Linked DNA regions of Sus scrofa. The protein of the gene in region 3 purifies or fractionates together with the protein of the main gene of each other region. This does not show direct contact. Links are inferred from orthologs where the notes say so. Each region holds a gene or a part of one and is shown on either strand. Other genes may lie near its edges. The genes, in order: DDX54, SIN3A, CSNK2A2, DCAF7, CCNL2, HADHA and DDX41.

What was found.
Region 1: the proteins of CSNK2A2 (region 3) and DDX54 purify together in Homo sapiens (affinity purification with mass spectrometry; 3 studies listed by BioGRID and IntAct, with this or other methods). This does not show direct contact. The link is inferred for Sus scrofa from reciprocal best matches to the Homo sapiens genes CSNK2A2 and DDX54.
Region 2: the proteins of CSNK2A2 (region 3) and SIN3A purify together in Homo sapiens (affinity purification with mass spectrometry; 3 studies listed by BioGRID and IntAct, with this or other methods). This does not show direct contact. The link is inferred for Sus scrofa from reciprocal best matches to the Homo sapiens genes CSNK2A2 and SIN3A.
Region 4: the proteins of CSNK2A2 (region 3) and DCAF7 purify together in Homo sapiens (affinity purification with mass spectrometry; 8 studies listed by BioGRID and IntAct, counting the BioPlex papers as one, with this or other methods). This does not show direct contact. The link is inferred for Sus scrofa from reciprocal best matches to the Homo sapiens genes CSNK2A2 and DCAF7.
Region 5: the proteins of CSNK2A2 (region 3) and CCNL2 purify together in Homo sapiens (affinity purification with mass spectrometry; 3 studies listed by BioGRID and IntAct, with this or other methods). This does not show direct contact. The link is inferred for Sus scrofa from reciprocal best matches to the Homo sapiens genes CSNK2A2 and CCNL2.
Region 6: the proteins of CSNK2A2 (region 3) and HADHA purify together in Homo sapiens (affinity purification with mass spectrometry; 3 studies listed by BioGRID and IntAct, with this or other methods). This does not show direct contact. The link is inferred for Sus scrofa from reciprocal best matches to the Homo sapiens genes CSNK2A2 and HADHA.
Region 7: the proteins of CSNK2A2 (region 3) and DDX41 purify together in Homo sapiens (affinity purification with mass spectrometry; 3 studies listed by BioGRID and IntAct, counting the BioPlex papers as one, with this or other methods). This does not show direct contact. The link is inferred for Sus scrofa from reciprocal best matches to the Homo sapiens genes CSNK2A2 and DDX41.

What each region holds. Positions count from the first base shown.
Region 1 is NC_010456.5:38,651,267-38,654,766, forward strand, and holds part of DDX54 (ATP-dependent RNA helicase DDX54), read right to left. Parts: intron 2,956-3,500; coding exon 2,813-2,955; intron 2,707-2,812; coding exon 2,593-2,706; intron 2,062-2,592; coding exon 1,957-2,061; intron 1,702-1,956; coding exon 1,589-1,701; intron 10-1,588; coding exon 1-9.
Region 2 is NC_010449.5:58,220,321-58,223,820, reverse strand, and holds part of SIN3A (paired amphipathic helix protein Sin3a), read right to left. Parts: intron 2,696-3,500; coding exon 2,512-2,695; intron 1,002-2,511; coding exon 428-1,001; intron 1-427. UniProt on the Homo sapiens protein: Acts as a transcriptional repressor. Corepressor for REST. Interacts with MXI1 to repress MYC responsive genes and antagonize MYC oncogenic activities. Also interacts with MXD1-MAX heterodimers to repress transcription by tethering SIN3A to DNA.
Region 3 is NC_010448.4:19,985,725-19,989,224, forward strand, and holds part of CSNK2A2 (casein kinase II subunit alpha'), read right to left. Parts: intron 1,206-3,500; coding exon 1,122-1,205; intron 123-1,121; coding exon 12-122; intron 1-11.
Region 4 is NC_010454.4:15,348,197-15,352,382, forward strand, and holds the start of DCAF7 (DDB1- and CUL4-associated factor 7), read right to left. Parts: upstream 2,801-4,186; 5' UTR 2,549-2,800; coding exon 2,411-2,548; intron 1-2,410. UniProt on the Homo sapiens protein: Involved in craniofacial development. Acts upstream of the EDN1 pathway and is required for formation of the upper jaw equivalent, the palatoquadrate. The activity required for EDN1 pathway function differs between the first and second arches.
Region 5 is NC_010448.4:63,665,254-63,669,225, reverse strand, and holds the start of CCNL2 (cyclin-L2), read left to right. Parts: upstream 1-1,172; 5' UTR 1,173-1,219; coding exon 1,220-1,519; exon of another isoform or gene 1,520-1,550; intron 1,551-1,817; coding exon 1,818-1,892; intron 1,893-2,153; coding exon 2,154-2,263; intron 2,264-3,440; coding exon 3,441-3,561; intron 3,562-3,972. UniProt on the Homo sapiens protein: Involved in pre-mRNA splicing. May induce cell death, possibly by acting on the transcription and RNA processing of apoptosis-related factors.
Region 6 is NC_010445.4:112,787,843-112,791,342, reverse strand, and holds part of HADHA (trifunctional enzyme subunit alpha, mitochondrial), read right to left. Parts: intron 3,249-3,500; coding exon 3,077-3,248; intron 752-3,076; coding exon 665-751; intron 1-664. UniProt on the Homo sapiens protein: Mitochondrial trifunctional enzyme catalyzes the last three of the four reactions of the mitochondrial beta-oxidation pathway.
Region 7 is NC_010444.4:80,431,808-80,435,864, forward strand, and holds the start of DDX41 (probable ATP-dependent RNA helicase DDX41), read left to right. Parts: upstream 1-1,257; 5' UTR 1,258-1,853; coding exon 1,854-1,880; intron 1,881-1,967; coding exon 1,968-2,078; intron 2,079-2,360; coding exon 2,361-2,520; intron 2,521-2,600; coding exon 2,601-2,675; intron 2,676-2,805; coding exon 2,806-2,866; intron 2,867-2,993; coding exon 2,994-3,130; intron 3,131-3,499; coding exon 3,500-3,572; intron 3,573-3,689; coding exon 3,690-3,843; intron 3,844-3,933; coding exon 3,934-4,057. UniProt on the Homo sapiens protein: Multifunctional protein that participates in many aspects of cellular RNA metabolism. Plays pivotal roles in innate immune sensing and hematopoietic homeostasis.

The DNA.
Region 1 (3,500 bases), on a different chromosome or scaffold from region 3:
GGGATGCACCTGCCAGGACAGAGATTTGGGGGGCTCAGCCTTTGAGTCCGCTTCCAATGTTTTCTCCTGCCAGAAGCCTCCAAGCTGCTCCCCTGCCCCTATTCACATCCCATGTTCATTGCTGTGGCTCTGACATCTGGCAGATAGCAACTGCTTAATAAAGCTTAAGGAGTCTTCTGTAACGAACAAGAGCATGGACCTTCAAGCCCATACTGCCAGGGTTCAAATCCCAGCTATGACCACTTGCACCTTGGACAAATGACTTGACTTCTCTGTGCCTCAGTTTCCCCTGCTGTGAATTATGAATAACAACACCTACCATGTAAGTCCTAATGAGGGGTAAATGAGCTATTACATGTGTAGTGTTCAGAACATGGTCTAGTCTACAGTCAGGGCCTCCTAAATGTAACTATTACAATTAGAAATCATTCAATGAAGGCTTTTCAGTGTCTCCACTATGCAGGCGCTAAGGACCCAGACGGACTGCAATCCCTGTCTCTATGGATGGTGTGCTCTAAGCTTGTTAGACGAAAACAGGCTGTAGCTTAATCTTCCTCTGGCAGGAGAGAAATCAGAGAAGACTGGAGAGGGGACGGGACTTGGCCAAAGTCACCGAGCAAAGTGGCAGCAGCAGTGGTCAGTGGCCTTGCCCCTCGGATCCCCACCAGGCCCTTGTGCCCCACTTCTAGGCTCCCTCTCCCACCCACGTCAATGACCACGGAAGAGCTCCCACACAGATGATCATTAAGGCGGCCCTAGCTGACTCCATGGGGGCCAGGGCACCTAACAGGGACCCATCACTCCAGTGAGGACAAAGGACAGAGGGGAGAACAGCTGCTTTTTCCTGAAGCTGACAGGCCACCCTCACCATCAAGCCCACAGCAGCAGCCTGCTCCACTCCGGGTAAAATTGGGAGCTGAGGAGTGAGGGGTGAGGGAGCCTGGGGGGAGCCAGGGGACATCCACAGGGAGACAAGAGAGGAGGAGAAAGCTGGGAAGTGCATGTGTGCAGGAGAAAAAATAACATGAACCATGAGAAAAGTAGAAAGAGATACAGAAAGACAGAGAAAGATGGAGAGAAACAGACAAGGAAAGAGAGAGGGACAGGGAGAGAGTCAGAAATGGAAAAGGAGAGGATGAAACTACAGAATAACGAGAGAGGATGACACGTCAGAGAAAATCCAAGACAGAAATGGAGGGAGAGACAGAAGAGGTGTCCACCACCAGAGAAGGAAAAACACCACATGAGGAGGACCAAGCCCCCGAGATGACCAAATGTGCCAATCTGCGGTTTTGTTTTTTTTGGTCTTTTTGTCTTTTTAGGGCCACACTTGTGGCATATGGAAGTTCCCAGGATAGAGGCTGAATCAGCTACAGCTGCAGGCCTCACCACAGCCACAGCAAAGTGGGATCTGAGCCACGCCTGTGACCTACACCACAGCTCATGGCAACACAGGATCCTTAACCCACTGAGCGAGGCCAGAGATGGAACCCAAGTCCTCATGAATACCAGTCAGGTTCGTTAACCACTGAGCAACGATGGGAACTCCCAACCTGCACTTTAAGGACCATCCTACCCAGACTCTTACCTTGCCCTCGGCCATGCTTCCCACCTCTTCGCTCTGGGCCTCGCCGGTCAAAAGCCCCTTCCTCTTCTGAGTCACGATCATCGATTTTCTGTTTCTGTTTCCACTTTTGGTATCTGAGAGGCTGCATTAAGGAGGCTGCCTGCAGCATCCAGATGCCCGTGACACGTGTGGGCCCCACCCTGCCCAGAAGATACAGGCCTTACCTACAGGGGGTTTGATGGTTGAATCCGATCGACCCCACCCATTCTCTTGCCCTCAACTATAGGGGCTAGACCACGCCCCTCCCTGACACCGCCCCCACCTATAGGAGATGTGGAGGCAGAAGGTGCTTGCTCCCCCCCCACCCATGGCCACGCCCTTCTGGATACAGGTCCCGCTTGTAGGAGCTGCTGATATAGCGGCCACTCTCTGTCTTGATCTTTTTCTTGTCCTCCTGTCCTGACTGTCCCACAAACCGCTTCTTCTTCCGGTCCCTGTGGGAAAAGGAGTTAGGAACTTGGGAGGTGTGCTGCGGAGGGAGGTGGCCCACTTGCCTCGGGGCCTGTTTCCCCCTGACTTTCATTGGGTCGCTGGAGGATTCAAGGAAAGCAGGGTGCCCACGTATGGCGTGCAGCAGGTGCAACATAAAAGCCTGTGCCCTGCCCCTCCTCACCACTCCCTGGCAGCCCAGGTCTCAAAAGGCAGTGTGAGAGTCAGGGGATTAGCTCCAACCTGGGGGTTCAAGGTCTGGGGGCCTGGGTCACATACAGGGGTGCCCTGGAGGAGTTCCCAACTCCCACTTTGCTACAGGATGGGCTGAGGGTGTGTGTGTCATAATCTGTGCTGTGCAGGATCAAATGAGGGTGGGGATGTCATAATTCCTGCTCTAGGGCATCATTTTTTTGCCCACTGGAGCCCTGTCCGATCAAACATAAGAGAGACAGTCAGGGAGGAGGTCACATGCCTATTGTGAGGACCAAGTGGCAGACGGGGACATGGCGGGGTGTGCTCACTGGCTCACTTACCACTTGAGCTGCTGCCGGCCCCTGGTCAGACTCTGGGCTTCGTCCCCCATCAGGTCCAGGACAGCACCAGCCGCCTGCTGCTCAAAGGCTCCCCCGTCCCCACCGACACTCAGGCTGCAGAGGGAGGGTTGGGGAGACGTCATGGGGTTGGAGGTGGGGTGCCCATCAAGCCCACCTACCCTAACCCACCTGCCCTAAACTGGGACCAGGAGTCACTCACCCTCGCTCGCTCTCGAAGTCCTTGGGCCGGTAGGGGACGTAGAACGCCTGGTCCCGCTGCCGGGCCTCCTCCCTCCGCCTCTTGGCTCCCCGGTCAGGTCCTGGCTTCTGCCGCTTCTGGCCCACGACCTCTGTGAAGACGTCCTGGCGGATGGAGGCCCAGGAGTCACCCGCTGCCCCCAGGGAGTGGACTGGCCACCCAACCCACCAGCCCAGGTTGCGGTCCAGGGGCTTCCGGGACTTTGAAAACCTGGTGTTGCCATTTAGACCCTGTTTCCTCATCTGCACACATAGCACAACCCCTGCCTCAAACACCAGGAGAGACAGGCCAGGTGGGGTAGGAGGAGGGCAGGGTGCCAACGAGGGTGAGACCCACCACATTCTTGTCCCAGCTCAGCCTCCCTCAGGTCATGTGACCAAGGCAAGGCCCTGTCCCTCTCTGGGCCTGGGCCTTGCTCTATATGATGTGGACTAGTCCAGGGGTTTTTAAGAACATTTTTTGCCCTCTGGAGCCCTATCCGATCAAATGTAAGAGAGACATACTGGTGGATGAGCAGGCCCAGCCCCTAGCCACCAGGGGCACAGCACACTCTTGGTCCCGCAGCCCTGCCTTCCACCATGAAGGCCCAGGGCTGACGCTGCCTGAGTCATGGCCCTGCTGCTGCCAACAGTCCCTGGTCTGCCCATTT
Region 2 (3,500 bases), on a different chromosome or scaffold from region 3:
AGTTTAAGTAAGGCCACACAACCAGTAAACTGCAGTGTTATAAGGCCTGCCTGTATTCTACGTATAACAGAAAGCAGCCCTTGAGTCCCCAGTGTGGCTCAGGAGGTTAAGGACTCAATGTTTCTATGAAGATGAGAGTTCAGTCCCTGGCCTCCCTCTGCGGATCAGGGATCCGGTGTTGCCACAAGCTGCAGCATAGGTTAAAGATGCAGCTCTGATCCGTTGCTGCTGTGGCACAGGCCTGCAGCTGCAGCTCCAATTCAACCCCTAGCCTGGGAACTTCCACATGCTATAGGTACAGCCGTGAAAAGAAAGAAAAGAAAGCAAGAAAGCAGTTCAGAGTCTAACTAGGTTCTGAGGTCCCCAACCCTTCACATCTTCTGTAGGCCAACACACTCTCTTGTAGACCAATCAACTAAACACTTACTAGGTTCTTTGAGGCGTAACTGGATGGCAGGGCTGTCACTCTTGTCTCTCTTTATGCCTAGCACTTCCCGTTCCCACTCTCTCTCTCGGTTTTCTTCCTCAATTTGCCGTTCAGCTTGGGAACAAATCCGCAGCAGCCTCAGGCAGAGTATCTGGTGCAGTCGCATAAAGATATACCAGTTATTATTAACATAGAAGAGGTTGTATACTTCATCCATCCCTCTTAACTTCTGAGCTGCTGTGTTACTAAACAGTAGCTTGGACTTAGGGGGACTGCCCCCAACACCATTGTGCTTCTTAGCTGCCCCTGTGGCTTCATCTACATCCATCTCTTCTTCTTCCTCTTCCTCCACATCCGAGAGATCACCTCTCTGAGCAAAGAGCAGATCTGGAATGAAGTGATGCATGATTTGCTTGATTTTATATTTGTCCTCCTTCTGAATGCCTGTCTGCCTCTTCACATGGTGGATAATCAGAGCAGCAGCATCTTCCAGAATCTGCTTATCTTCATAGGCAAGTGAGAGGTGTGGGCCAACAGGCACACCAGCATTTTCTTCCGTAGCCTGCTCTTGCCTCTAACAGGAAAGAGAAAGAAAGCATTATGTGACATACCTACAGAGATGATAAACAGACCTACGAGACTACACCATAGCAGCCATTATTTTCCAATCCCAAACATTCAAAAACAAAAAGATAATGTGTTTGATACCACAACGATTTGTATCTTTCAGACATTTTAGACTTATATGGAAAATGGGACAGAACTGGGACCATTTTTTAAAATTCTAAGTTAATATTTATGGAGGATACGATATGAGATCTAGGATTTACTTTAAAATATTTCTGTGGTGGGAGTTTGGAAGGTTAACAGATACAATGAAACAGGCAAAAGAGAGATGATTATTCAAGTTTACGTAAGCTCATTTTACTATTCTCTCCCCTTTTGCATATGTTTGAAATTATCATAAGAAGTTTTTTAAAATCCCAGATCACACCACTTCTAGGAATCTCAATCACACTGTGTTTGTTTCTATCTATCCCCTAAGACTGTAAGCTCGAAGAAAGTAGGATTAATTTCTTATTCATCTCTGTATCCTAGCTCCTAGTACTATATATAATCCTGGTAAGGATGACAAACAAGGATTAGGAAGAGTATGGGGGGGAGTTCTCTTATGGCACACCACATTAGAGATCCGGCGTTGTCAGTGCAGTGGCTTGAGTAGCTTCTGTGACAGGGGTTTGATCACTGGCCTGGGAACTTCCAATTTTCACATGCCATGGGCATGGCCAAAAAAAGAAAAAGAAGAAGAAAGTCTGGGGATCAATGATAGGTATTTTAAGTTGTGGGGAGTTGAGGTGAGCTCTAAGGAATTTTAGGGAAATAGATGGGGAGAGAAGTGGGAGAGGGAGATGATGGGCATGAACTGAAACCGGGATCATAAACTGGGAAGCCAATACAACAGCTTAGTGAGGCTTAGATTTAGAATGGTAGAATCACACTGAGAACCTGCCTAGATATTTACATCGCAACAGAACAAAGGGAGGAAAAAAAATGTATACATGTATGTGTAACTTGGTCCCCATGAGATCTAGGATTTACTTTAGGATCTACTTTTACATCTAGGATGTACAGCAGAAAAAATACATAAATAAAAAAAATAATATGGAGTTCCTGTTGTGGCAGAGTGGTTAATGCATCTGACTAGGAACCATGAGGTTGTGGGTTCGATCCCTGGCCTTGCTCAGTGGGTTAAGGATCCGGCATTGCCGTGAGCTGTAGTGTAGGTTGCAGATGCAGCTCGGATCCCGCGTTGCTGTGGCTCTGGTGTAGGCCGGTGGCTACAGCTCCAACTGGACCCCCTAGCCTGGGAATCTCCATATGCCACAGGAGAGGCCCTAGAAAAGGCAAAAAGACAAAAAAATAAAATAAAATAAAAAGGTAGATTCAGGAATAGAGGCTATGACAACTACGAAGCAAGAATCAACAGGTCTCCCATTCAAATAACAAAGGTAATCTGCCGGAGTCAAAGTTATGCTGACATATATACTGGAGACTTCTCAAGGATGTAGAGACCTCCGGCTTACCTCATCATAGATACTCTCAATCTCATTGAGTAAGCTCTTAGATCTCAGGACCTTGGTGTCATTTTGTTTAAAGTTGATGCCTTGGTGGTCCAGAGATTTCAAGTAGTATTTCTCATTTTGTTCTCTCCACACCTTATTAAAGCCTCTCTGAGCTTCTCGCCATTCTTCCTCTTTCATCTTCAACCTAAGGTGGGTGGGGTTGGAAACAACAAAACATGGGAGTCCAGATGAGGGAATTTTAAGGTAGGAATCCTGGATCTGCCATAGTAACCATAAGACTTATAAGTAAAATAGGGATAATAGCACCTAATTCATAAGGTTTTAGAAGTGAGAAGTCAGGTTTATTCTATTTCTCTATTTCAAAGGTCAAAAGATACAGAAGATCCAAACTGTTGGCAACTTTGGGGTAAATTTTATCCAAATCAGCCTTAAACTCTACCACATGAGAAAATTACTCATTCAGGACTTATTCTGGGGAAGTCATTTGTCCTAAAGTCAGAAACCTTGCCAAGAATAGTTATTTCTCAAACATCATTTCATAGAATACCTCAGAAAAAGGGGTTCTCTCCCTGGGGCAGCTCAAAGTGATACAACTTTCTTTGCTACAGGATCTCTGAGGACGTTTACTATGCTAATGTAAATGCAAAAGTCCAAGGGCAGAAAACTTGCACAGAAATGTTCTTTGGGACACAGTTTGGAAGTTCTAATGAGAACAACTGATCCTGATACTCCAGAAGAGGAGAGGAGAGTAAAACCAAAACCAGCACTAGAACTAAAGAATATCCTTTATCTCCAAGCCAAAAGTTAAATGCTATTGGCAAGGAGAGGAATACCTCCTGCCAGCTCTTGAGGGAAGACTAGGGAGGAATAATAACATCTGGGCACTTGTGAATTATGCAGCAGATAAGTTTTCACCAGGTGATACCAAGGGAGGACCCAGCTCTTAGCAGGGATTCACAGTATGGTACAGAGTGCCATGGACGTGGAGG
Region 3 (3,500 bases):
AACAATTTTACCTGATAGTCCACAAGGAGCTCTGGTCCCTTGAAGTACCGCGAGGCTACTCGGACATTGTACTCCTGAGCTGGATGATAGAATTCTGCCAAACCCCAGTCTATCAGTCGCAGCTATAAGTATGGCAAATAAAACGTGGGAAAGGAATGTTTTTTAGATGCCTGTGTCTTACAACAAGGCCACATCATTTTAGATAAGTATTTGGCCACATAAAGTACACTGTTGATACTTTCAGCAACTACATTTAAGATTATTTCTAAAGCAGAGCACCTGGAATCTTACTTGCTTTTTCTTTTAAAAATTTAAATTATCCTGGCTTATCATTCTTTTTACCCCTCCCCCTTTTTACAGCCATACCTGGGGAACATTCGAGTTCCCAGGCTAGGGGTGGAATCAGAGCTGCAGCAATGTGAGATCCAAGCCACATCTGTCACCTATACTGTGGCAACGCTGGATTCTTAACCCACTAAGCCAGCCAGGGATCAAACCCGCACCCTCACAGAGACAAGGGTTTGAGTTCTTAAGCTGCTGAGCCACAAAAGGGACTCCTTATCATTCTCTTTAGATCAATAAAGCTTAAGTTTTTATTCTGCCTCCATCCAGTTGCATGTGATAACACATCCACCTCATTATTGACAGCTTTCATTATAAAGCTCTAGTCATAACAGAAAGAAATGGAGCATGTGCCCTGTTCTAGGACTGAAGCACTGCTCTAGCTTTTCATTAATCTAACACTAGCTAATTCATTTATTCACCAGTGAGGTACAATCAGGACTGAATACTGAAAAGAGGTGGCATCCAAGTGTACTTTTTAATCATAAGGCCAGGCCGACTGGTCTGAGGATCGTTAAGAAAGGAAGTAGAAATCAGCAACCGTAATTTCTTTCTTGAGGCCCCCCGGAAAACCATCATCAAGGTAAACAAGTAACTACACTTAGGGTCAGCTGTCTACTTTCCTTGTGTACTATGCTTACGCCAAGTACACTGGAGACTGAAGAAATACAACATCACAAGTCTTCCAAAGAAAAAAACAACATGGGTCTTTATAAACCAGCTAGGTACTGGCCAAAGTCTTTCAATGAAAGGCTTGCACTGCCTGGCTGTAATGGTACCTTTTTCTGTTGGTGATCTATCATGACATTGTGAGGTTTCACATCCCTGTGCATGATTCCCTTGCTGTGGCAGTAATCCAGAGCCTATTAGATAAGAAAGCACAGAGAAAAGTAAGCAAACCCTCTATCACCTTCCTCCCAATGCAAGCATATTCTTAGTACTTGTTCGCACCAGTTTGATTTGAATAGTCTCCCAAGGAGCAGCTTACTGTCTGTAACAACAACAAAAAACATGCTTCAGAAGGCACCCCTTGCTCTCTGAGCACACTATGCTAGCAGAATGGGGGCTGTGGAGGGGAGTCACCAAGGACTATGATGATTTCCCTTTTTCAGCCACCCTGCAGCATATGGAGTTCCTGGACCAGAGATCAGATTTGAGCCACAGTTTAGACCGACACTGCAGCTACACCAGATCCCTTCACCCACTGTACCAGGTCGGGGATTGAACTTGCATCCTGGTGCTGCAGAATGCCACAGCAGGAAATCCATGAAGATTTCTTAAAAGGGGGAAATTACATATTTCTTTGGGCATTTGTCTCTACCTATGGCTGGAAGCAACTATTAGTCGCATGAATTTAAAACGTACATGAATCTGTTGGTCTAATTTGGTGTGCCTAAAACCAGATCTAGGAACCTCAGTGGAGTCATTCCTCATGCCAGTTTCAAATGACATGTAAGAACCCATGTAGACATGAAGAATGACATCTAAATATACTGGCAGTGTGGCCTGTCTTTTACAAAATCCCACGTGGGTTTTGTAGACTAAGATGTATTCTAATATTAGAATTTTCCTTAAAAACAATCCCTGATCCAGTTAAAGAATTATGACTCTGAAGGAGAAAACTGCTTCCTGTAAGACCACTGACACGCAGCTAAGATTTTTTTTTTCTTTTTTTGGCCACACCCATGGCACATGGAAGTTTCTGGGCCAGGGATCGAATCCCAGCAACAGCTGTGACCTATGCCACTGATCCACCACCTGTTGCTACAGATTTGCCTTTTCTGGACATTCATAAAATGAAATAATATATACAGTTCTTTTTTTTTTTTTGTCTTTTTTGCTATTTCTTGGGCCGCTCCAGCGGCATATGGAGGTTCCCAGGCTAGGGGTCGAATTGGAGCTGTAGCCACTGGCCTACGCCAGAGCCACAGCAACACAGGATCCGAGCCGAGTCTGCAACCTACACCACAGCTCACAGCAACGCCGGATCGTTAACCCACTGAGCAGGGGCAGGGACTGAACCGGCAACCTCATGGTTCCTAGTCGGATTCGTTAACCACTGCGCCATGACGGGAACTCCCTATACAGTTCTTTATCTTCTTTCACTAAGCATAACGTTTCTAAGATTCATCCATGTTGCTTTTTTTCCTTGTAGTAGTATTCCAGTGACCGAATACACTGCTGATGTAAAAAAGTCTTTGAGGAGTTCCCGTCGTGGCGCAGTGGTTAACAAATCGACTAGGAACCATGAGGTTGCGGGTTCGGTCTGGGCCCTTGCACAGTGGGTTAACGATCCGGGGTTGCCATGAGCTGTGGTGTAGGTTGCAGACGAGGCTCGGATCCCGCGTTGCTGTGGCTCTGGCGTAGGCTGGTGGCTACAGCTCCAATTCGACCCCTATCCTGGGAACCTCCGTATGCCGCAGGAGCGGCCCAAGAAATAGCAAAAAGACAAAAAAAAAAAAAAAAGGAGTTAAAAAAAAAAAGTCTTTTAGAGGACATATGTTTTTATTTCTCTTGGGTAGACTCCTAAAGGTGGAAGTGCTGGGCTATAATTACAATAAACTTTTCAAGAGTTTGCCTAATTATTTCCCAAAGTGGCTGAACCATTTTACATTCCCATTAGCAATGTATGGGGGCTCCAGTTTCTCTACATCCTCACTAACACTTGTTACTGTTTATCTTTCTGATTAGAGCCTTTCTAGTGGGTTTGAAGAGGTATTTCATTATGGTTTTGCTATTTCTATAATGAATGATCAGGTTACACATCTTTTCTTTGGACAATTGTTAATTCAAATCTTTCACCCATTTCTTACTTGGGTTAAGTTTGTTTTTAAGGAATATAAAAATTTGCTTCTAAATCTGCGTTTTCCAATACAGAAAATAAATTTTCATAAATTTCAACGTTGGGCCCTTTGGCTTGTCTTAAAAAGCCCTTGAAGCCTATGAGTCCCACATTTTATGTCTTATCCATAAAGTACTCCTTGAGTAATGATGACAGCAATCCACAATCTTAAGAGTACCTACTGATGCGCCTGGCATTGAGAGCTCTTATAAGATGGAATTGTCCAAGAGACAAGATTAGGTCTTTTCCATGTCGGCACCATTGACACTTTGGACCAGAGGATTCTTTGTTACGGGTAGCAGTCCTGTGCATTATT
Region 4 (4,186 bases), on a different chromosome or scaffold from region 3:
GTTTTGCCTTTTGCTATGCTCACGGCACTCGAAAGTTCTAGGGCCAGGGATCAGATTGAACCAGAGCCATAGCAGCAACTCAAGGCGATGCAGTGACGACACCGGATCCTTAACCCGCTGCACCATGAGAAAACTCCAAAAAATGTTTTTAGTAACTATGAGTCATATGGTTGGTTTCCTTTGTAATCCCATGTATTTTATGCATTTGAAAACATAATTATGAACAGAGGTCTATTGGCTTCCGACTGCCAAAGCTGTCCATCAAACACATATACACACACAAGAACTCTGACCTGGGGCAGGGGACACAAAAACCATTTTAAGACACCACGTTGCCCACATTACGCAAGTGAGTTAAGACAGAGGTAACTGCTTATTCTATTACTACTGGGATTATCAATTAGCATTTTACGACTAAAACCACACTGCCTGCGTGCCTGGCACAAAGAAGGAGCTCCATAATTGAAAGGATAAATTTGGGGGCAGAGTTCCTGCAACCAAAGTTTGACACCAATTACTCCACTGATTCTACCAGCAGCCTAACTGTGGCTTGGTTTCTCATCTCTTAGAAATGGGGCTGCTACTGCTTACCTAAATTGACCTTGCAAGAAAAAAAAATCCATCCGTCTGTGTGAAAAGACTCAAGCCCTTTGAAAGATGTATTTTACTACCACCCCCCCTTTGTTTAAACATGTATTCTTAAACAACAGTTCTAGTGCTCTCAACTTTACTAATTCAGTTTACACATCAGGACCCTGAATTTCACTTTAGCAGCTCTGCGGTCCACTATGTGCCATAAGGAAGAAAGAGGCTCCAGAAGAAAAATAAAGCTATGTCTTTTCAGGACTCTCTGGTTTCTGTGGGAAATCGTGGACTCCGAGATCAGTGCATACTTTCAGGGATTTGTTTGTAAAGTGTGTATGTGGGATGTCTGGGCAACAAGAGTCCATTGTTCTCATCAATTTCTCAAAAAGGATTACAAAAAATTTAAGACCTAATTTTTTTGGGGGGAGGGAAGGCATACATACAGCATATGGAAGTTCCCAGGCCAGGGGTCAAATTGGAGCTGCAGCTGCCGGCCTACACCACAGCTCTAGCAACTTGGGATCCAAGCTGTGTCTGTGACCTACACCACAGCTCCTGGCAACGCCAGACCCTTAACCCACTGACCAAGGCCAGGGATCCAACCAGCCTCCTCATGGATCCTAGTCGGGTCGTCACTGCTGAGCCACAACCAGAACTCCTTAAGATCTAATTCTAAGATGTGCTCCTGAAAACCTGCAAACAAAATTACAATGCTCAAATGTTTTCTAAAGGACTTCTTTCCTACAACAAACTGTGGGTCAGAAATAATAAAACTTACCTATGCAGTGTCCCACAGCTAATCAGTGGACTAGACAAGGCCTAATCCTAGAGCACCTGGCCTTTTCCCCTGCACCATGCCTCTGCCCACAATTTATTCTTAAATTAGACTGTTCCTGGTGTCAAGCAGGTGTACAGGTTTTAAACACCACTAAGCATGGCTCTCAGTTGCTCTGATCACTATCAGTCAATCACAACGCTTACTCTAATACAATAAATGGCAAACTACGGAGTAATGGAAAGAAAATTCTTTCCACTAACTTATTCAACTTCCAAAACTAAATTTATGTGTCACTGCCAGCTTCAAGCTTCCTCCTATTAACCGCGCTTCTAAAAAGGATTCTCAAATTGTGGATGTCCAGAAAGACTTACTTCTACTCCAGGTTACTTGTCTGTATCAGCATGAAAGATGCCAAGAAAACAAATGGCAAGCATCACCCTTTTCTATGCAGAAGACAATAGCCATTGGCAAGATTTCCAAAAAGAGATAGCTTTGAAGAGGACGAATATGAGGCAGCAATAGCAATGGCAATCCCGGCAGAAAGGCTGGGGAAATCCAGGGAACAGGGGGCGGTGAAACCTGCTAAACAGTCCTAATAGAAATCTAGTGTGGCCAGGGGAGAAGGACCACGGGGCTCCAGCATCTTCTTCGCAGCCATCACTCCCTCATCCCTCCTCCGCCCCCCAACTGAAGCTGCAGGAGAGGAGGGGATAGGCGTGATAAACGGCACAGCTCTGCGCTGCAAACTTGGGTTTGAGACCTGTTTCCGTCACGCAATAGCTGTCTGACTGGGGCAAGTCACAACACGGTGCCTCAGTTCCCCCATCGGTAAAATGCGGGTAACTACACTCCTGACTACCCAGGAATGCTGCAAGGATTAAATGAGACGAGAGCGAAACCCTCTGCACAGGGCCAGACACAGAGGAACCGCTCCGTGGCGCTAAGGCAGGTCCGCAGGAGGGTCCTGGGGTCTGAGCTCCGGCCGGGAAAGGGCGCTCCAGGTGCCCGCGTCCCTCTAGCTGGGTTCCGAGCCCCTGCCCGGCCCACCTTGTTGTTGTACTCCTCCACGAAGCTGCCCAGCGCCAGGCGAAAGCGCTTGTCGGGCCGCACGCTCCAGTTCATGGCGTAGACGGTCCAGGGCGCTTCATACTTGTAGATCTCCTTCCGTTTGCCGTGCAGGGACATAGTGGCGGCGGCGGGGCCGCAGTGCGGGCCGGGACGGCAGCGAGCTGCGGCGGGCGGGGCGCGAATCGGGCAGGGAGTCAGGCCTGGGACGGAGGGGTCCGAAGGGAGGCGGGGCGGGGGCGGGTACGGACAGCCTAGCCCGGAAGCGGGGCCGCTGCTACAGACAACGACAGCCGAGCCCGACCCCCACTTTCAAACCTGCTTCGGCTCGGACAACAACCACCTTCCGTTTGAGACCCCGCCCCACCCTCTAGAACGGAAGCCACGCGACCCCCTCAGCGGCGCCGGCCGTTGGCTACCTGACACGTCCTTTCGAACGGCTCCTTCTCCTCATTGGCTAGTGTACCCGTAGCTTCTGAAACCTCCTTGCTATTGGTGCGTATGGTTGTCATTCCGATTACTTGCTCTGCCCAACTCCAGGGGGCAGGCGCTTTCACAGCCACAAAGGTCATTGGCTGACAAAGATGTCAGTCAGAGAGATAACGGCGCAGTGCGGGTGAATCGGGGTGTGGGCGGCTTAAAAGCTCGCGTACTGTGCAGCAGGCCTCCAAGTTCTAGGCCAAGTCTCTGAGAGTGAAACCTCTTACGTGACTGCTCTGACTTCCCCACTGCAGCTGCTATTCTGACCGGATTCTCCACGTTGGCGAGTGAAAATGAAAAGTCTGCCTTACGAGAGGGCCTGCTGCGTTTCGCGGCACTGAGCTCCCGGGCCTTGCGGACGGGCCTGCGCCGAAGGGAAACCCCTTTATTTCCCTGCTTCGCCAACGCCTCCTTTAAATTGGAATGTTGTTCTCCCAGCGTACCAAGGGCAGACGGCGGACACGCCGCTCTACTCAGGACCAGGCCAGCTTCAGTCAACCTTTCCTGGCCATTCTAGAAGTGCTTGGAATTAGAGGATTGGTCTTCAGCAGGCAGCAACCCCGCCAGCGTGGCTGTCAGCTTCTGTTTCCATCTTTTCCCACGAGCGTCCCAAGGCAAATGCTAATCTAGCCTTAAATATATAAGTGTCTTGAATTTGAAATGGGGAAGGGTCAGAATCTAGGTAACATCTCTTTATAATTTAAATGGTTTCCAATAATTTGCTTTCAACAAAACTAAGCAAAAAATTGTATTGAATTGTTAGATAATATATCATTAAATATAGTATTTAGTGGAGTTCCTGTTGTGGCTCAATGGAAACAAATCTGACTAGTATCCATGAGGACGCAGGTTCGATCCCTGCCCTCGCTCAGTGGGTTAAGGATCCGACATTGCCATGAGCTGTGGTGTAGGCCAGCGGCTACAGCTCTGATTCGATCCTTATCGTGGGAACCTCAATAGTTAGGGCACATGTGACCTTAAAAAGACTATATATATATAGTTTTTAGTGATAAAAGTGATTGTTAACAGAAAACTCAGAAAGAAGGACGCACGTTTGATCACCAGCCCCACACAGTGGGTTAAGGATCCAGGGTTGCCACAGCTGCAGTGTAGACGGCAACCGCAGCTGGGATCTGATCCCTGGCTAGGGAACTCCATATCCATGTGCTTCCAGGTGGCCAAAAAAAAAAAAAGAAAGAATTCAAAGAATTGAGTGACTGAGTGACACTGTTTAATGTAACAAACTCCTCACAGTCCTATCCACTTCCGTAGGTGAAC
Region 5 (3,972 bases), about 44 Mb from region 3:
GGCTACAGCCATAAACTTTTCCCTCTGGCTAGTCACTGCAGGAGATGGGAAGCATCCCAGGCAGGGGCAATGGAAAACACTGTTTCCAGGGGGTTTCAGAAGAGGAAATTCTTCCTTTCCTGGACAGTGTGCTATTGTAGCCCACAGAGGAGACATGCTGGCGATGCCGGCTTGGGGGGTAGGAGCAGGGGAGCACGGTTATCATGTGGCCTGTGGGGATGAGAGACAGGTTTAGTTGGCACTGCTTGAGCTGCAGGATTAAGTCTCTTCAGGAGTGAAAGCCAATGGCACCCTCCGGGTTTGGGGTTTCAGTCATGGGCGCAGTCACTGGCAGCTCCTGTTCTCCCGCACCCATCCAGGCGCCTACCCTGCCATCTCCTCTCCACCCTGCCCTCGCCCGGTCTTTTCCACATCCTCCCAGGTTCTTCCACTAATCTCGGTGGAAGTTTGGGAAAACTTTAGTAATAACGATTACCGCATCGGACGCGATTACAACACTGCTGTCCGGTGACGTAAAAATTCATTGATCCTGGGAGCGCCTGGTACAACCGATGAGGAAATGAAGTCAAACCCGTCGATGGCTCCCCGCTGTTTCCAGGAGAAATGGCTGGAAACTACCCTTTCTTTTCTGTATGGACTCGACTTGTAGGCGAGAACTTTGAGAATATGGCATTAACACGTGTGCCCCAAAACCTGGTCTCAGTAAAGGCTAGAGAGTAATGACCGCGCCGGCTGCCTCGAAGACCTCCGACACCGCCACCCAAGCTCTGGACCCCTGCCCTGCAGGACGCAGTCCCGGCGGTAGGAGAGCCGCCCCCACTCCCACTGCCCGGCAAGGGCCCTGCCCTCCCCTGGGCCCCCGCGGGACCCCCCAGAAGCCTGCGGCTGCAGCGGAACCCTCGCGACCTCACGGACCCCGGCACCAGCTGTGCGCCAGGACCGGAACCGGCGTCTACGGCTAGTACTTCCGGGTCGCGGCCGCGGCCTCGCTAGGGCGCCGCGGGGCCTCCTGGGTAACGTGCCCGGCCCCGCCCGCTCCGGTTCCGGCGTCGGGTGAGACGCTGACGGGCAGGCGGTACAGCCAATCGCCACAAGGCGGGTTCGGGCCGCCCACCAGTCGAACGAATGGTACGCGGCGGGGCGGGGCGGTCGCGGCCGTAGAGCGTCGCGAGGAGCCGCCCTACGGGGAAGGAGCCCGAGAAGGAGTCGGCGGCACAAAATGGCGGCGGCGACGGGGACGGCCGGGACCGGGGCCGGGGCTCCGGGCTCGGCGGCCCCCGCGGCAGCGGCCGGCACGCCGGGCTCGGGCAGCGCAGCCCCGGGATCGCAGGGGGTGCTGATCGGGGACCGGCTGTACTCTGGGGTGCTCATCACCCTGGAGAACTGCCTCCTGCCTGACGACAAGCTGCGCTTCACTCCGTCCATGTCGAGTGGCCTCGACACCGACACCGAGACCGACCTCCGCGTGGTGGGCTGCGAGCTCATCCAGGCGGCCGGCATCCTGCTCCGCCTGCCGCAGGTGAGGGAGCGGCCGCGAGCCTCGGGCCGAGGTAACCGCCGTGCCGGCGCCGGGGGAGGCGGCGGGGCCCTTTGTTGGCGGCAGGGCCGGGCGGCTCGGCGCCGACGTCCGACCCCAAGCCCGCTCCTAATTCCCACCCGGGCCCCGGGCCCAGCGCGTCCCGGAGGTAGTGAGGGAGGCAAAGCAGCGGGACACGTTTTAGTTTTTGGTTGTCAGGAGTCTCAGGAAACTCAGTGACTTAAGTATGAAACACTCAGAGTAGGCGTTTGGAAAGGATGGAAACTTTTCTCTTCTGTAGGTGGCCATGGCTACAGGGCAGGTGTTGTTCCAGCGGTTCTTTTATACCAAGTCCTTTGTGAAGCATTCCATGGAGGTAAGACCTCCTCCTCGTCTGTCTGTCCCGCAGAAAGGGGGGAACCGGAAACCTGGGTTTGTTGTTTTGCCGCGTTGCTCAGTGGAGTGAGTCCTTGTCTTCCACCACCTGCAGCGCTGTCCTTAAAGGCTTGGGGAGCCCCCTGTGCGGTAGATAGGTGGCCTTTTTCTCCCGGTACCCCTCTTTGCTCTCAGCTGGTTTTAAGCTGTGGGAGGTGTCGCCGCTGGAGCAGACGTCCGTGTTGCGTTGCTTCCATTTCAGCATGTGTCAATGGCCTGTGTTCACCTGGCCTCCAAGATAGAGGAAGCTCCCAGAAGGATCCGAGACGTCATCAATGTGTTTCACCGGCTTCGACACCTGAGGGAGAAAAGGTGCGTCCGAGTTAGAGCTGTTGCAGGTGTGCGTGTGCTCGTTCTCGCGGCTGTCCAGTTACACGGATGTTTCTGAAACAAGATTCAGGATGTAAGCTTCTACTTGCTCGCTTTTCTTTGTCATGGCCGCACCTGCGGCACATGTAAGTCCCAGGTTAGGGGGCAGATCAGAGCTGCAGCTGCCAGCCGTCGGCACAGCTGCAGAAACATTGGATCCAAGCCACATCGCAACCTACACTGCAGCTCTGGGCATCTCTGGACCCTTAACCCACTGAGTGGGGCCAGGGGTTGAATCTGTGTCCTCATGGACAGTGTCGGGTTCTTAACCAGCTGAGCCCCAGCGGGCATTCTCGGGGTTGTGAGGTTTAAACTTGTGCCCAGAGGAGCCCTGGTGCAGAGGGGGCCGACCCATACTGTTTAGTGAGTGAAGAGTGGTCAGGGAAGTGTGGCAGTCGTCTTTCTGGCATCGGTTTCCTGGTGTGCCCCCGTCAGTCTCTGAATGCTCCAGAGCTGGCTTGTCACCCTCAACACTGTTTCCATTTTTGGGTGGGTGATGCTTTGTGGGGGGCTGTCCTGTGCGTTGTAGGGTGTCTAGAAGCATCCTTGGCCAGGCCTTCCAACCTCCAGCCAATAAAACAGCCTCTGCTATTGAAATGCTGTACTCTGCTGGTCCTTTGCTTTCCCATTCACTTGTGATGCACATGCGTCTTGAGCAGGACGAACCAGGAGCAGTCCTTGGGTGAGGAGCTTGTGAGACCCTCCAATATGTTCAGTGGCATTTCTCAGTCAAACACAGGGAGAGAAGTTCACACTGGCACAGTGGGTTAAGAGTCCGACCGCAGCAGCTCAGCTCACTGCGGAGGCGAGGTTCAAACCCTGGTCCTGGTGCAGCGGGTTAAAGGATCCAGTGTTGCAGCTGCGACTTGGATCCATTCCCCATCCCGGGAATTCACAAGTGCTGTGGGCACGGCCATTAAAACAAAACAAAATGGAAAGAAAACGGGAGAGCCTTCCTGAGAAGGGTAAGCTGGGTGGCGCTGGGGTTCGAGGAAGCCGGTAGTCTCGCTGGTTAAAGGAAGCCGACTCTGTTTCCGGGAGGCTGTCGGCGGCGGCCATCCTGGGTTGGACAGATTCTGTTGTATTTAATTCTCACTAGATGCGTGCTCTGTCTTTGTAGAAAACCTGTGCCTCTCCTGCTGGATCAAGATTACGTTAATTTAAAGAATCAAATCATAAAGGCGGAAAGGCGAGTCCTCAAGGAGCTGGGCTTCTGCGTGCACGTGAAGCACCCTCACAAGGTGGGTACGAGGCCCCGCTGCCGCCCCGTGTCACCCAGATTGGAAACGGAAGAGGAGTAACTGGGCCCCTGACTCCAGTGTCCCGTTTGCACTCTAACCTGGAAATAAGTTTTTCCGTGGTCTTGTGTTACGTTAATTTTAATGGCGTCTTTTTAAGAGCTTTGAGAACTGCATCTTGGGTTTGAGCTTTTCAAGATGGGAATGAACTTGTCAAAATGAGGTGTCACTCTGCATTTTTTTTTCTCAACAGCTGACTTTCTAAGTTGTTTTAGTGACAGTTAAACCAATTTTATCATTGATTTCCACTGCTGTCAGCTTCTGCTGTACAGCGGAGTGACCTAGTCCCGCCTGCACACCTGCATCCCTTTGCTCGTGTTCCTTCGCATCACGGTCCATCACGAGTGATGGAAC
Region 6 (3,500 bases), on a different chromosome or scaffold from region 3:
GCATTAACAGTTTCAGCTGCTTAGAGGCCTTTTATATTTCCTGTCTGCTTTTGCCTGGTTCTGGTTCGCTGCAGCTAACTGGTGTCCTCCGTAGAGGTGAACTGCTTTATTTCGACCTGAATGATTTCACCTGATTTCCTGGTAGAGCGCAGAAGCCCAAAGCTAAGTGTCGAAGCATCATTCCAAATACTCGCTGAAGGTGCTTCGACAGCTGCCCCTCGGTCCCGGGGAAGGAGGTCTCAGCAAAGCCGTGGGTGGGCCCATCCCACCACACCCCCTGATCTTCCACACCTGGCTCTGGAGTTGGAACCAAACCCAACCCAGGCAGTCACCAGAGTCTGCTCCACAGGAAGGTGCCCGTTTGGAGCATCTCGTCTTATTTTAGGGCCTATCACCAGGGCCACCTGGAATAAAGGAAGGGTTTATAGCCTGAAGCTGAATAATAACCCCTATTAGGGGCGCAGATCACCACAAAGATCTACCTGAGTGGGACTTCACTTGTTCCTGCATCTCACACTGGTCTTTTCTGTGCCCAGTTTTGGGGACTACATCAGCACCCTCGTCCACTTCAGAGTCCATACCAGTCCCTTCTCATGTTCTAAGCCTTCATCAATGAGGCTGGTGCAGTAAAACATTTCAGGGTTTTCCTCTGTTCAGAATTTACCTTCTCAGGTCTTTTACTGACAGCAGCAATTTCACTGATCGGGAGAGCAGACGTGTTGCTGGCAAAGACACAGTGATCTGGAATCACCTGCAGGAGGAAAGCATTTAGGAACGTGTCATGAGGGCCTGGGAGACGACGAGCGTCCAAAGGAAAGCCAATGAGTGACACCCGGCCGCTGCCCACCCGCTCACCCAGAACTGATCAGACGGAAGACACCCCGTCCTTCACTTTTCTAAGAACAAGCCACGATGTGCCCGCCTAGTTGATACTTTACCATGTGTTACCAAGAACTGGTACACCACTCTGATTATACCCACAGTGCATGAACGCCATTAACTGTTAGCTTTATCAACCCCGAGAAGTCTCTAGTGTAGACTGTCTCAGCCTTCTGCCCACTGCCCAAACATATTCATGTTTTTATTCAGATGCTTGAGTGAAAAACATGCAAGGCACACCTGTCAAATGTGTGCAAATCTGTGACAGGCAGAAGCCTGACACCAGACATGAGAATCAAGGGTCCAGAAATATTCGACACCCTGAAAAGGTGAGTATAAGATCAGATCAATTATAGGGAGGGTGAAGGTAAAGCACTACATTAAGATTTTGTAAAAAAGAAGAGAAAAAAGACCTGGAGAGGCACCTAAGGCACAAGACCTGGCTTGGCAGTAGCCTTGTGTTAAAGAGCCCATGACCTTATTTCATCAAAAGTATAATGCGAGTCCAAAGGGGGGCCTGACAGTCAGAAAGCTACCACAGTCTCAGGCTGCATCATTAGCGGTGTGGGGTCCAGTGGCGTTGGCAGAGCTCTCTGTGAAGAGCGGACCAATGTCCCCAAAGATGGCTGGCAGCGATGCCCCCTCCTCACCCAGGTGTCTCTCTCCTCCCATCCAGAGGCAGAGTCTCTCCCCTCCCCTTAGATCCAGGCTGCCCTGTGACTTGCTTTTGCCAACAGAAAGCAGCCGAAGTGACTCTGCCAGTTCGGCCCCAGCCTTGTGAAGCCCGCTGGCTTCTGCTTTGGCCCTCCTGGAAGCCGGCGGCTCTGCTGCAGGGGAGTTCTGGCTGGAACCCTGATGGAGGGCAGGCGCCTCAGCAATCTTTCCGCCCAGGGCGGTCCCAGGAGTGCCCCTGCTGGGAGGGCGCACGGAGCTAAGGGCCAGCCACCTGGGCAGCGCCCTGCCCGACCTGCACAACTGCGGAAAGGTAGCTGTCTCTGCGGGGGCCCGTCACATGCCCAGAGAACACTGAGACACAGTGCAGACAGCAAAGGAGACACCAAGGCAGAGGGGGCTGGAGACGAGGCCTGGGAAGGTCTCGAAGCCGTGGGTCTCTTCAGTTCTGTGACGAGGAGGAGAAGCTGTAAATCCGTGAGGAGCGCAGTGCGGACTCCGCTTTAACGTTTTCCTCTAAGGAAAGCGGGGCCGGGGGCGGGGGGGGGGGGGGTGGACTCGATGCCCTCCTAAGGGTGTTTCGCCTGACATTCTTTGGTTTTCTAAAGAGGGGTCTGCTCTGGACCTCACTCTTCTCTGAGTAACTTGGAGTATCTCCCACCTTAGATGATTTCACTCGCTTCACTAAAGAGGTAAAGGCCCCCTGACATGTTACACAGATGACCACAACAAATGTGCCTTTGTTTTGGCTTTTGTCATTTTAGGGTGGTGCCCGCGGCATATGGAGGTTCCCAGGCTAGGGGTCGATTCAGAGCTGCAGCTGCCGGCCTACACCGCAGCCACAGCAACGCCAGATCCTTAAGCCACTGAGCAAGGCCAAGGATCGTCTTCATGGATGCTAGTCGGGTTTGCTGACCACTGAGCCAAGACGGGAACTCCCAAATGCGACATTCTGGGTTTTGCCTTCAGCAATAACCTGCCTGCTCTTTTCTCACTTATCTGCTGAATACCTCCCCTTCCCATCTCCGTCTGCTCCCTCTCCCCGGTGCCTGCCTCTAAGCAGTGACAACGCCAGCACATCAAACGCCTCCGCTTTTCATTCTCTTTCCCTAACAGGTTCTGTCCCATTGCTTCTCAACACTTATGTTTCAACGGAACTACTGTGTTCATTTGTTCATAGTCCGCATATCACTTGACCGGAATCCTCTTCCTTCTCTTTTAGGTTTGTTTGCTTTTGGCCACACTCGTAGAATATGGAAGTTCCCTGGCCAGGAATTGAACCCAAGCTGCTGCAGTGACAACGCTGGCACCTTAACCAGCTGAGCCGCATGGGAACTCCTACTTGTCTTCTCTGAGGACTTTGACTTGACCTTTGTAACATACAGTGTGCACGGGTTCACATAAAAACTTATGTTTGGGAATGAATGGCCCCAGAACAACGAGTTCCCTCCACCTCCTTAAGCAACCCCCGTCTGTGTTCTCCACCCGCTGCACCAGGACTCAGTGCGGCAGGCCCCTCACTTACCGCCTCTACCTCTTTGAGCACTTTGTGCTTAAGACTCAGCTCTTCGAAAACAGCTTCAATCACCATGTCGGCCTTTTCAAAACCCTGGTAATCGAGCTGCCCGGTCAAGTTGCTGAAAAGGGAGTCCCTTTCAAATGATGTTAGTGCTTTCTTCCTCACTTTATCATTCAGTCTGGAAAAAAGACATTTCTAGTCAGGGGGGGCGAAAAGGAAACTAACATTCATTGAGTGTCTGTGGGTCAGAGTGTGTTACGTGCCTTTCACGCACTCAGTGGGGTCGTCGTGTTCCTCCCATTTTGAGGGGGCTGAGCTGCTCAAAGGGCTCAGACGGACTCATGGTCCAAGAGCTAGTGAAGGGAGGGGACTAGGATTCCAGACAACTTGAACCCACATCACATTCTTTCTACTACGAGATGCCTCCAAA
Region 7 (4,057 bases), on a different chromosome or scaffold from region 3:
TCTGTAAACTCACAAGCCATGTTTGTGTCTTGCTCATCTTTTATCTCCTTCGACACTGGGCACAATGCCCAGCACATACTCATATTTAGTATATGAAGGGGGAGTTCCTTTTGTGGCTCAACAGGTTAAGAACCCAGCATAAGGTCCGTCAGGATACTGGGTTGATCCCTGGCCTTGCTCACTGGGTTAAGGATCACTCATTGTTGCAAGCTGTGGCATAGGCCGGCAGCTGCTCCAGTTTAACACCTAGCCCGGGAACTTCCATATGCCACAGGTGTGGCCCTAAAAAGGAAAAAAATCATATATATGAAAAATCATATGAAAATCATGTATAAGTATTTATGAAAAGAACAGCACTAACCTGTCGCTCCTTTTAAAAAGTCCTCAGTGAGGAGTTCCCGTCACGGCACAGCAGAAAAGAATCCGACTAGGAACCATGAGGTTTTGGGTTCTATCCCTGGCCTCGCTCAGTGGATTGGGGATCCAGCGTTCCCATGAGCTGTGGTGTAGGTCGCAGACGCAGCTCGGATCTGGCGTCGCTGTGGCTGTGTGGCTTTATTCTTCATCACCGTGAACATAAGGTATCACAGGGAGGACCCCTATCCTGGGAACCTCCTTATGCTGGTGGGTGTGGCCCTAGAAAAAGACAAATAAATAAATAAATAATAAAAATAAAAGTCCTCAGTGGATAGTTCCTATTGTGGCTCAGTGGTAAGAAACCTAGTATCCATGAGGATGTGGCTTTGATCCCTGGCCCCGCCCAGTAGGCTAATGATCCGCAATGTTATGAGCTGTGGTGTAGGTTGCAGAGGAAGCTCTGGATATGGCGTGGAGTGGCTGTGGTGTAGGCAAACAGCTGCAGCCCCTAACCCGAAAACTTCCATATGTTGCAGGAGCGACCCTAAAAAGAAAATAAAAATAAAAGGCCCCAATGAAATTGAAATTACTTACCCTGACAGTCTCGGCCCTGCATGCTCTGGATCTACTTTTCCAGCTTTAGCTCTGACTATCCCCTTCTGATACAAGCCAAGTGATCTCTTTGTTCCCTGAGGAACTTGCACATGGCCAGAACTTCACTCCCACTGGACCCTCTATCACGAAGCCTCTCTCTTCCTCTCCTGCACTCCCAGCTCTGAGACTCCACAGATCCAGTTCTCCTAGAAGACTTCTCTGGTTCTCCGATCACTGTCTGAGCTCTGTTACAGCATTTACAATAATAATCGTTTACATACATGTACAGCCCCTCAGAAACCACCGTCATCAGTATTTCATTTATTCTTCATCACCGTGAACATAAGGTATCACACAGATGAGAATCCCAGTCAGGGCGGCAGCATGTGTTGAGTCATTTATTCTGCAAGCCCCACCCTGACCCCTGTGGCCCGTGAGAGTTAATGGCGGCTGGAGAGAGCGGGGCGGGATCCCAGCTGGCCCGGTCCCAGAGCTCCCTGGCCACGAGAGGACAGTGTCCGCTAGCGGGGGTGTACCAGGTAACGTCACGCCTTAGGCGAGGCTGGGCACCTGGCAAGCCGCCCTCTTCGGAGTCAGCAGATTCCACGCTTCAAACAGGATCGGCTTGAGCCTTCAGCGCATGCTCCAAATTTTGCAGCGTCCAACGGTGCCTTGCCTAAGGCTTTAGCTCTCAGCCCTGGCAACAGCTGCGTAGCCGCCCACAGGGAACTGGGATGCGGCTCCGCCAGACAGGGACTCAGGAGAAAGTTTGTCCCTCTGCGCGATCCGGCACTCAGGTCGCTGCTAGCTGCCGACGTCTGCTTCTTCACATCTGATTGGATAGCATCATAGGAAAGGCGGGGGGCGGGGGTTTGCCGTGGCGCGCATGCGTATAGCAAAGAATGGAGGAATCCGAACCAGAGAGGAAGGTGGGAGCTTTGCTCGCTGGGGTCCGCGTGGGTTGCGAGTGGTAATGAAGTCGGGGAGTCTGGGCCTTGACTCGTGTATATCTGCAGCGGGCTCGCACCGACGAGGCAACTGCCACAGGAAGCCGCTCCGAGGCGGAGGATGAGGACGATGAGGATTATGTACCCTACGTACCACTGCGACAGCGCCGGCAGTTGCTGGTCAGGGCCCTGGGTCGCGGGGACGAATGAGGGCAGGAATGAGGGTTTGGCTGTGGCATGGGGGATGGCCCCAGGTTTGCAGAGTGAGGTGTCAGTATACAGGAGCATGGTCCCCAGGCAAAGGGGGGAACTGGTGAGGCGACGTGATCTGAGGGATGGGGCAGCTCTGCACCTCGGGGCACAGGATCCTCTCCCAAGAGCCAGGATCCTGACACCTGCCCCTGGGTCCAATGCCCCACTCTGCATTGGACTCGGCTCTGAGAGGCGCTCGTGGAACCTCAGCTCCAGAAGCTGCTTCAGCGAAGGCGCAAGGGAGCTGCGGAAGAGGAGCAGCAGGACAGCGGCAGCGAACCCCGAGGAGATGAGGACGACATCCCGCTGGGCCCTCAGTCCAACGTCAGCCTTCTGGATCAGCACCAGCACCTCAAAGAGAAGGCTGAAGGTGAGTTGGGCAACAAGAGGGAGGCTCAGCTTGGTACATTGCTTTAGTGTCTTTCTGACACCTTCTGCTGCTTTTGTCAGCCCGCAAAGAGTCTGCCAAGGAGAAGCAGCTGAAGGAAGAGGAGAAGATCCTGGAGAGTGTAGCTGAAGGTCGAGGTATGGTTGTAGGCAGGGGCAGAGAGGAGGTGGACTGCCTCTCCTCCTCCAACCCCAGGCATGTTATATCTCAAGGGGGTCTGGCCTCTGGGAAGCAGTAGCCAGTCCTTAGCCACATCTCTCTTCTCAGCCTTGATGTCAGTGAAGGAGATGGCTAAGGGAATCACATACGACGACCCGATCAAAACTAGGTATGTCTTTCTGGCCTGTGGAAAGTCAGTAACCCTTACTTGGGACCGTATTTGGGGGACACTGGCAGGGACACCCTAAAACCAGCTGTGTCCAGGGGCTCTCTTGACCCTTGCCACCCACCCACAGTTGGACACCACCCCGGTATGTTCTGAGCATGTCTGAAGAGCGGCATGAGCGTGTACGGAAGAAGTACCACATCTTGGTGGAAGGTGATGGGATCCCACCACCCATCAAGAGTTTCAAGGAAATGAAATTTCCTGCAGGTACTTGGGAGCTCGGAGCAGTACCACACTATGATAGTGGAACATTTGTGCAGTTGCATCCTTGCCCTCACTGAGCTCAGCAGCTACATCTTTGGGTCCAGTCAGTGGGGATGGAGGGATTGGTCTTGATGATTCTTTTTCAGTTGGTGCAATTATACATATGTACTACTCTCTGCCGTTAGAGAATTTTAGTGGACAGGTAACAATGGCCTTTAACAGACCTGGCTGTGAACCCTGCCTCCACTTTACCTGGAGGCCTTGGACAAGCCTGTGTCTGTCTTTCTCTCTTAGTTTCAACATAGTGCCAGTTTTATGGGCTTTGGGGGGCCTGATGAGACACAAGGATGATGGCAGGGTTGTTTTCTGTAGCCATCCTGAGAGGCCTAAAGAAGAAGGGCATCCACCACCCAACACCCATTCAGATCCAGGGAATTCCCACCATGTGAGTGTGAACCTGCTGGTGTTGAGGAGGGTGGTGACAGGGAGGAGCGGTCGTTAGATGAGAGGCAGTCCGTTTATTCTACTGAACCTGACCCTCAGGTCTGTCTTCTCTCAATAGTCTCTCAGGCCGAGACATGATAGGCATTGCCTTCACGGGTTCAGGCAAGACACTGGTGTTCACCCTGCCCGTCATCATGTTCTGCCTGGAACAAGAGAAGAGGTTACCTTTCTCTAAGCGCGAAGGGCCCTATGGACTCATTATCTGCCCCTCGGTAAGATAAGCTGGCTGGGGTTGGGAGTGGGGGAATGCAGGGCACCAACAGGGCCACCTCTGGTAGCAGCCATTGCCCCTGTACCTACAGCGGGAGCTGGCCCGGCAGACCCACGGCATCCTGGAGTATTACTGCCGCCTGCTGCAGGAGGACAGCTCGCCACTCCTGCGCTGTGCCCTCTGCATCGGGGGCATGTCTGTCAAAGAGCAGATGG